2 linked regions of the Coturnix japonica genome follow. The protein of the gene in region 2 interacts with the protein of the main gene of each other region in a biochemical or structural test. Links are inferred from orthologs where the notes say so. Each region holds a gene or a part of one and is shown on either strand. Other genes may lie near its edges.

The links.
Region 1: the proteins of LNX1 (region 2) and SHTN1 form a complex in vitro, tested with the Homo sapiens proteins (2 studies listed by BioGRID). The link is inferred for Coturnix japonica from reciprocal best matches to the Homo sapiens genes LNX1 and SHTN1.

Annotation. Positions count from the first base shown.
Region 1 is NC_029521.1:25,821,488-25,825,053, forward strand, and holds part of SHTN1 (shootin-1), read right to left. Parts: intron 2,318-3,566; coding exon 2,171-2,317; intron 2,085-2,170; coding exon 1,931-2,084; intron 892-1,930; coding exon 786-891; intron 1-785. UniProt on the Homo sapiens protein: Involved in the generation of internal asymmetric signals required for neuronal polarization and neurite outgrowth.
Region 2 is NC_029519.1:59,244,840-59,248,875, reverse strand, and holds the start of LNX1 (E3 ubiquitin-protein ligase LNX), read right to left. Parts: upstream 2,835-4,036; 5' UTR 2,687-2,834; exon of another isoform or gene 2,675-2,686; intron 1-2,674.

The sequences.
Region 1 (3,566 bases), on a different chromosome or scaffold from region 2:
ACTTCCCATACAGAAGTTAGAAAGGGTTATCTGAATCCATTTAAAAATAAATACATAAATAAAATGGAGGGAAAGATCACCCAAAACAAGGACTCATGCACAGCAAGGACAGCTCTTCGACTTCCAAGATTTTTTGGAAGTGGTATTTCTAAACCAAATGGGGACTGTTATGGAAGAAAACATATTGGATGCCAATATCTGTTTCCTCACAGTTCAACAGTGCACTGCAGCATGTGTTTTATTTCAAGCAAATATAGAGTCTACAGGAACGTTAGCTGAGTTCCTAAAATTAAGCCAAATGCTTTAGGGACTCCACTTACTTGTGGTTAGTGCCCAACACATGGTATTGGCTCACTTCTTTTATGATTCTTTGAAAACTTCAATCTTAATTTTATCTGACAGGAAGGGACAACAGTTATCATCCAAGACATCCTCTGGTACAAAGGGGTACTCTTGGAAGCAGACTCAGACAAGCACCTCACAAGTCTGTAATTACAGCTATCAGGTGAATAAAAAAAACATTGCCTAAATTTAGAGGAGACGGGTGTCTCTCCTCATCCAAAGTCACAGTCCAGACAATAGATTAGGTTTGGGAAGACAAACACTGTTCACAACTGGTCAGGGTGCAAGACTGTTAGTGAACAGAGTGTCCAGCTTGCAAAGTGGAAGGAATAAAACCCAGATCAGACAGAAAACCTTCCTTTTTTAAAGACACTTTTCCTGGTGAGATATTCTGTATTCCGACTTATCCTTCAGTGAAGAGCACTGACTCTTTAAGCACTCACCGTATGGGGTTAGGAGGAGGTGGAGGAGGGAGAGGGGGCGGTGGTGGCGGCGGAGGAGGAGGTGCAGGATTTTCAGATTGATGTATTCGTTTTTGAAGTTCATCAACTGTGCAAGAGAAAAAACCTTGAGTGAGGACTCTGCTTCTCGCATCTGCTCTAAAAACTTCGACAGCTTAAGCAAAAGAAGCTACTAATTAACCCCAAAACCACTCAGTTGCTAGGAAGTCCTATTTCAGGCAATGTTTTCTACTCTCAGCAGCCTCCTAATAGCACAGAAATCACACTATACCATTTACTGCAACCTGGGCTACCTTTGAAACTAAAATGACACTCCTCAAACAGAATTCTTTCTGTAAAATCTCAGGACAGATAAAAGTTTATCACATTCACACTACTGCAATCTACATGAGGTCTGAGGCACATCAGCCTCCTGTACTTCCATGGAAGCTGAATGAGTCCTCAGTGTACATCAGAAAACACAGAATGGCATCGTATGCAGCCTTAAATAACAAACTAAATAAGAGATGAGAGAAATTAACAAAGATGAAGCTAGAAACTGATATCATGTCTTCCTGATGGACTTTGTCGTCTTTTTTTCCTCACCAAACAGCTCAAGCTGAGGGGGAATGGGATTATCCCACTTTCTGCATATAACTCTTCAGTTCTCATTATGATTAATTCAAACTGAAATTCCAGTCTTTAAATGGTAAAGTAAGAAGCATAAATAACGGAGTGACTTTAAACCCCAGGTACAAACTTAATGTTGACAAATTCCTTCTGAAAGACAAACCAATCTGGAAGGACAAATTCTGCTGTGATGTTTAGATCTGTCCAAAGACAGTTGAGAAAAGGCTGTTTCAGTGTATTTTTAAGGCTGGGTAATGTAAAGCTCCAACAAAAAACACTGCTAACAAGTGTTAATACTGCTCTTAGGAATATGTTTCATTTATCTTACGATAAGGATTTGGGACTTTGACTGGGGTTCAAACTTAAAACCAGTACCTGCTTAGGCCTTCAGCTGAATAAAGGACTGAAAACAAAGACCATCAAATCAACAAACCATAGGCCCACAGTCCTCATAGCAAGGCTACACACAGCAGGAGCTGTGTTATACCTCTAGAAGTAAACTCATTACACAGTTTTACCTGTATGCTTTAGGTCTCTTGCTTTTTCTTCAGAGTTCTGACATTTAAGCTCTAGTTCCTTTTTATCTTCTTCTAAGAGTTCCAGCTGCTGTTTAAGGCGACTAATCTCCTTATGCAGTGCCTGGTTTTCTAGCTTCTCTTCTAATTCTTTGACCTGTAGTTGGCAAACCACGGCATTAATTCATCCTCCAATTCAAGAAGCTTTCAAAGATTTCTGCATGAAATGAGAAGCAGTTTTACCTTTTGTTGATGCTGAAGCCTCTCTTCTTCTAACGCGTGGGTTAGCTTAGCATTGTCATCCAGCGCCTTCAGAAGCTGCTGATCGGGGGCAGAATTCTGCAGAAGCAGCTGGCTTTGCCTTTTCATCTTGTTTTGTTCAATAAACATCTGAGAAAAAAACAGCCAGCCCCAACAAAAACAACAGTTAAGCAAAGCCTGACGCTATCTTGGAAAGAAAAAGAAATAATTGGAAAGAAAGCAACAAAGTCAATATTGAGTTAATACAGCAGGAATAAAGGAAAAGGTGGTGAGAAAGAAGGGAAAAGAAAGTCTGAGAGTAAAATTTACAAGAACTGAGCTTAAACTGAAAGATACCAGAACAACGCTCTGCCACACCTCTATTACCTGCACGATGGCAGAAAAAGGGATTTAACTGAGTATCTGAGATTTATTTCCTGGAAAAATGAACGACCCGGTTCTGGGGGCTCTGGGAAGATTAAAGGGATTCAAGGTGGAGGAAGAAAAGTCAATGAATTCACAAGCGATCTCCTCAACCATGTCAGCCAACCTTGGCATGCAGCCCACTTAATGCACCATCACCTGGGTATGTACATGATGGAGTGTCTTTGGGAAATGCATTTCAGCTCATGTTTGATTAATCAGTGTATGTAATTGCCCTCAGATCCATTTCAGACTTTGACTGCTGAAGTTCATGTTTTCTCTTTTTCAGTTATATTTTAGATCCAGGGAATGGATACATGAGGAAAAAAATCCATCCATTTAGAGGCATGACACTGATACAAATATCACATATTTTCCTAGGCTTCACCCACATCAGCATGTGAGATTCCCGTAAGAGAGAAAACCAGCTTCTTGCAGTCTATTGAGGAGCTTGGAGAAGAAGAATTATTTCCTGTCCCTACTAATTCCTTGGTGAATTTCTTCTTCATCCTGATGTCTCTTCCAGGTAGCAAGAAGGTGCCCAGCAAACAGCAATCTGCACTTCTGCACAGCTCAGCTGTTTCAGTTCTTACAGCAGAAACAGGGACTGGGTCATGCTGAGACTGGAGATGAGTGTGCACAGCTCAGCAAAGCACCACTTACAGCAGGAGAGCGGAGAACAGCCACAGGCTCCTTCAGACTGTGAAAACACCGCTCCACAGCACAGCAAAAGCAAGTAGATACTTTAAAAAATGCAGTATTTCATGTATAAAAGTTCCATGAGATTTTGCCAGGCTCCTATACTACTTCTCACCAGCCAAAACTGCACATACTACACAGTGACGGATGGTTTCTTCCTGCTCGGTGCTGTTGCACACTGCCAGGTGATTTGTATTTTTTTCAGTACAATCGGATTGTAAGGAACCATCAGCTGATGCAGATTTGTGAGCAAACACTCTGCTCTGCGATTTGCACA
Region 2 (4,036 bases):
GGGCAATAGGAGCAGCTCTGTCCAGCTCTCATGAGTCAGGACAATGACTAAGATCTCTGTTCAACAAAAGTATCAGTGAATAAAGTTTGTTTATGACAGTGTCTGGGCTCTCGGTTACCATCACATCCTCTGGAGCCTGCTTCTGCCTCATCTGCTCAGTGCTGGGAAGCAGCAACCCTGTGTACGGTACTGCTCACTGGTTTCGAGTCATTGCTGCTTTAATTGGAGCTTTGTGAAAACTTTGACCTAAAGTCCACACTAATTAACAAACATACTGCTGATGGTCTTTTAACATTCTCCTTGAAACGAAGAGGCTCACAAAGGTTTTATCAGCCAGGACAGGAGAGCGGCACTAGCTGCAGAAGATCATTAATTATGCAGCCAAATTATCATCCGCATCCAGAACCAGTCTGATGGGTGTGAGATTGTGTGCTGCTTACTCCTGTGATGAGAAACCCATTAGGCATTACATGCTCAAGCTGTCCTGCTTCCTGCCAGTGTGCACCACATGCTCAGATGTGATCTGCTATGTGCACACAGACAGGGGAATTTTGTCTGATTTGAATTTCTTCCTTTAAGCGGCTGCATTTTCTGAAAAAAAAAATGCATTAATCCAGGCAGAGAAGTAGCTGTCACCTCTTAGTAAGGAGTTGTTGGTGCATGCAAACTATTGTTTTATTAATTCTCTTTGTTTTAAGAAGAATGGTAAAGGTACGTTAAAGTGAAACCAAAGGACGGAGGAGAGTGTTGCCAGGGACTGCTAAATGGGTAGGAAATTTCAGGGTATTTAGTTCATCGATTTCCTTGTCAAGCAGTAACTGATGTTTATTGAGAGGAACGGCAGCAGCGTGCAGCCAGAGGCAGCTGCACCTGACCTAAGCTGCCTATGAACCATTCCCTGAATGTTTACCAAAAGAGAAACTTTCTGCTTCCAAGCTTGGTTCCCTCAAATCATAGGATTTGTGCAATGACCTTCCTTAAACACACAGCTGAAGGCTTTAGGGAAAGCCTGGGGAAAGTCAGTTGTCGCACCTCCCAGGTTCTAGGAGCAAAAATACCAGTGGAAGAGGTGGATTTGCATCTCAAACAACTGCAAAACCAGCAATCTCACTTGACACAAGTGTCTGTCCATTTTAACTCGAGAGGGAATACATCTCACAAGCTTTGGCTGCAGAGACAGCCCCTCAAAAAGAGCTGCAGCCTCTGCCTGCCCCAGGCCAGCTTGCAGAGTTGAGGGCTTCAGAAATAACTGGCTGCAGCCCTTCAGCAGCCAGCATCTGGAAAGCCTTCAGAGATTTACCTTCCTGCTGGAAACAATACTGCCTGATTTCCTAGTCTGCAGCAAAATGAGGCTAATCTGTCATCTCATTCTGCATGCAAGATTTATTTGCATTTTGCACAAGAAAAGTTATTCAGGGGTAAGATGCCAGCCCCTTCAAACCTCTTCCAAAAGACAAATCAATTTCTTCTTGTGATAGACAATCGCAGTTTGGAGCCAGTGACATTCTGCCTTCCAAGTCTGTGCTACAGTGAAGTCCTGATGCAGTTAATACTCAGACACACAGGCTTGGAACCTCCTTCCAAAAAGCAGAGCTCTCGTGAGGGACTGGGGGACACTTGTACAGGACTACAGAAAAGTAACATTAATTAGAAGCAGAAGGAAGAGTATTTTCAGGTGGCAAGAAAAGGATACTGAAGAGTCAAGATTCCCCAGACTGATTCAATTTATACTTTTGGAAAATACACACAGCCTCTGAGGTCTGGGTGGAAGAGTATAAAATAGTAAATTAGTAACAGATTGCTTCCTTGAGAGGAAGCTCTCAGTCTCAGAAAACTGGATTGAAGAACTGAGGATACCAGTCCTTGCGAGGCAGCATCTTTCAAAATGCCTGATGGCAAATTTAGTTAAAGATAATTTCTGTTCTTTCCTAGCAACAGGAGACAATAGATCATGCTGCTTTGATAAAGTGGCAAAGATACCTTGCTTTTGTTTTGTGTCCCACTGAATGAACAAATGAAAACAAGTCTGGTTGGGGAGGGGAGAGGGGGGTGTAACAAACAGAGATTGTGTGCTCTAATCTATTTCAGTAGCAGACTGTGAAGAAACATCCGCATTATATATTGACCAGAACATTCACCTGCTCCTGCCTTTCCTGCTGTTGGTCGAGCCCTGTTCTTGTGTCAGGCATATGGGAAAAGTGTGAATTACCAATCCAATGTGAACACTTTCCCCGAGTTGTGTTTTTGTTTGGTAGATGTTTAAGTACCCAGCAGCTATTAATTAAAAACACTCAAAATGTGCTTCGCTTTAAACCTGTGAAGTACTTTAAGTATCTCCTTCAGGGTGCGAGGATGTCTGTGCATCTTCACAGCAGTCCTGACCTCTGTGTTGCCATGTCTGTACATGGACCTTGTTTTGACAAAAAGGATCAGGCTCATCCGTACAGATGAAACTTTTGTGAGATGACATATACTCACACATACTCAGTTTTGCAACCACTGCACATACCAGTACTGAATGAAAACAGAACTCATTAAGAACTGAGTATAAATAAGTAGAGGAGAAGGTGAACAGAAGATACCAAATAAAGTTTGTTTTGCCCAAGTATGTCCTTACCCGTTTGCTTCTCTGGTAGGTTGTAAGTGAGAATATCAGTTAAAAAGAAATGCAAACCTTGAAACTCACGTGTCTGGCCTGGCTGTGCCTTGTGCTGGCTGCTGGCAGAGTCCCACTGATGCACTGTCACTGTATTTTGGCAATAGGGCCCCATCCCTACAGCAGAGCAGCCACCAGCTGTGTCACACAGAGCAGCCCACAGCATGTCAGGAGGCAAAATAAAAGTTGAAGTGCACACACCTGAGCAATTCAAGGTTTAGAGAACCACACCCTTCCAGTTATTTCTCCTGCAGGCAACATGAGCATGTGCAGGCTGCTCAGACAACAACGTAACTTGAAGCTTTGGCTTTTACTTCCGGCATACGCCAAAGTCCATTTTCAGTTTGGCTTTGCTTTGTGTTTCCTTTCTTCTTTCAGCTTTACAATCAGATTGAACTTGGACCAGTAAACTCTCTTAAAAAGTTGTTTAAAACAGAAGACTTGGCTTTCCCCCAGAGCAGGAGGATGAGGCTTGTGAGCTCTGAGGCAGGGCCCATCCCAGTGTTTTACCAGCTGCAACTCCACCTTGTTCCCATACACCTGGGGTGGTCAGCTGAGGAGCAGGGAACCATATCAGAGCAATTTGAGAACTAGGAAATCAGCTGCTAGAAATACAAGCTGTGGTAATTATCTGAACATCAGGAAACAAAGACTACTTTAAGTCCTCTTAACCAGTGATTTCCAAGGAAAATAACAATGAAGAAAGGGATAAGATGTGCAGATACCTGAGCTGCCTGTGAATGACAGTTATGATGGCAGCAGCATCATCAAAGTGCTCTTCAGTTCAAAAAGTAACTCCAGTGGAGGAAAATAAACCCTAATGCTCCAGCTACATGAATCACAAATAAACACAATGACTTAAGCAATCATGAGCATTTTCTCTTAAGGAAGGAAGCAAGACAACTTTGGAGACAGACTTGGAGGCAACCACAGAGTACACTTAAGACAGCCAGAAGAAAACCTCCAGCCTCCCATATAAACATCTACAGCTACCAGGTCTTCAACTCATTCTATGCAAAATTTGTTTCCCTTCAAGAATGTTAAGAGCATACTTGCTAATTGTGATTACAACATCCCTTACTAAATACTTAGGAAATCATCAAGAATTGCATGCTGGTAGGACTTCACAAGATAGTCATGCTCTCAGCCTTTGCTTTCTTGCCCATCACAGCACCTCTGCTCCAGGCTGCTCATGGAGATGCAGAAGGGGTGTATCAAGCCATCCCACGGTGCTTGGTACATTACCACCCAAAGCCCATGCTGGAGTCTAGGCACTGCTCTGCCCCTGCAATGGGTACAGTTTGGAGAGAGACTGTATGCACAGGATCTAGATTCCCACAGAAGTCACAAGGCCAGATATGCAAGCCCCAGCATGGGCTT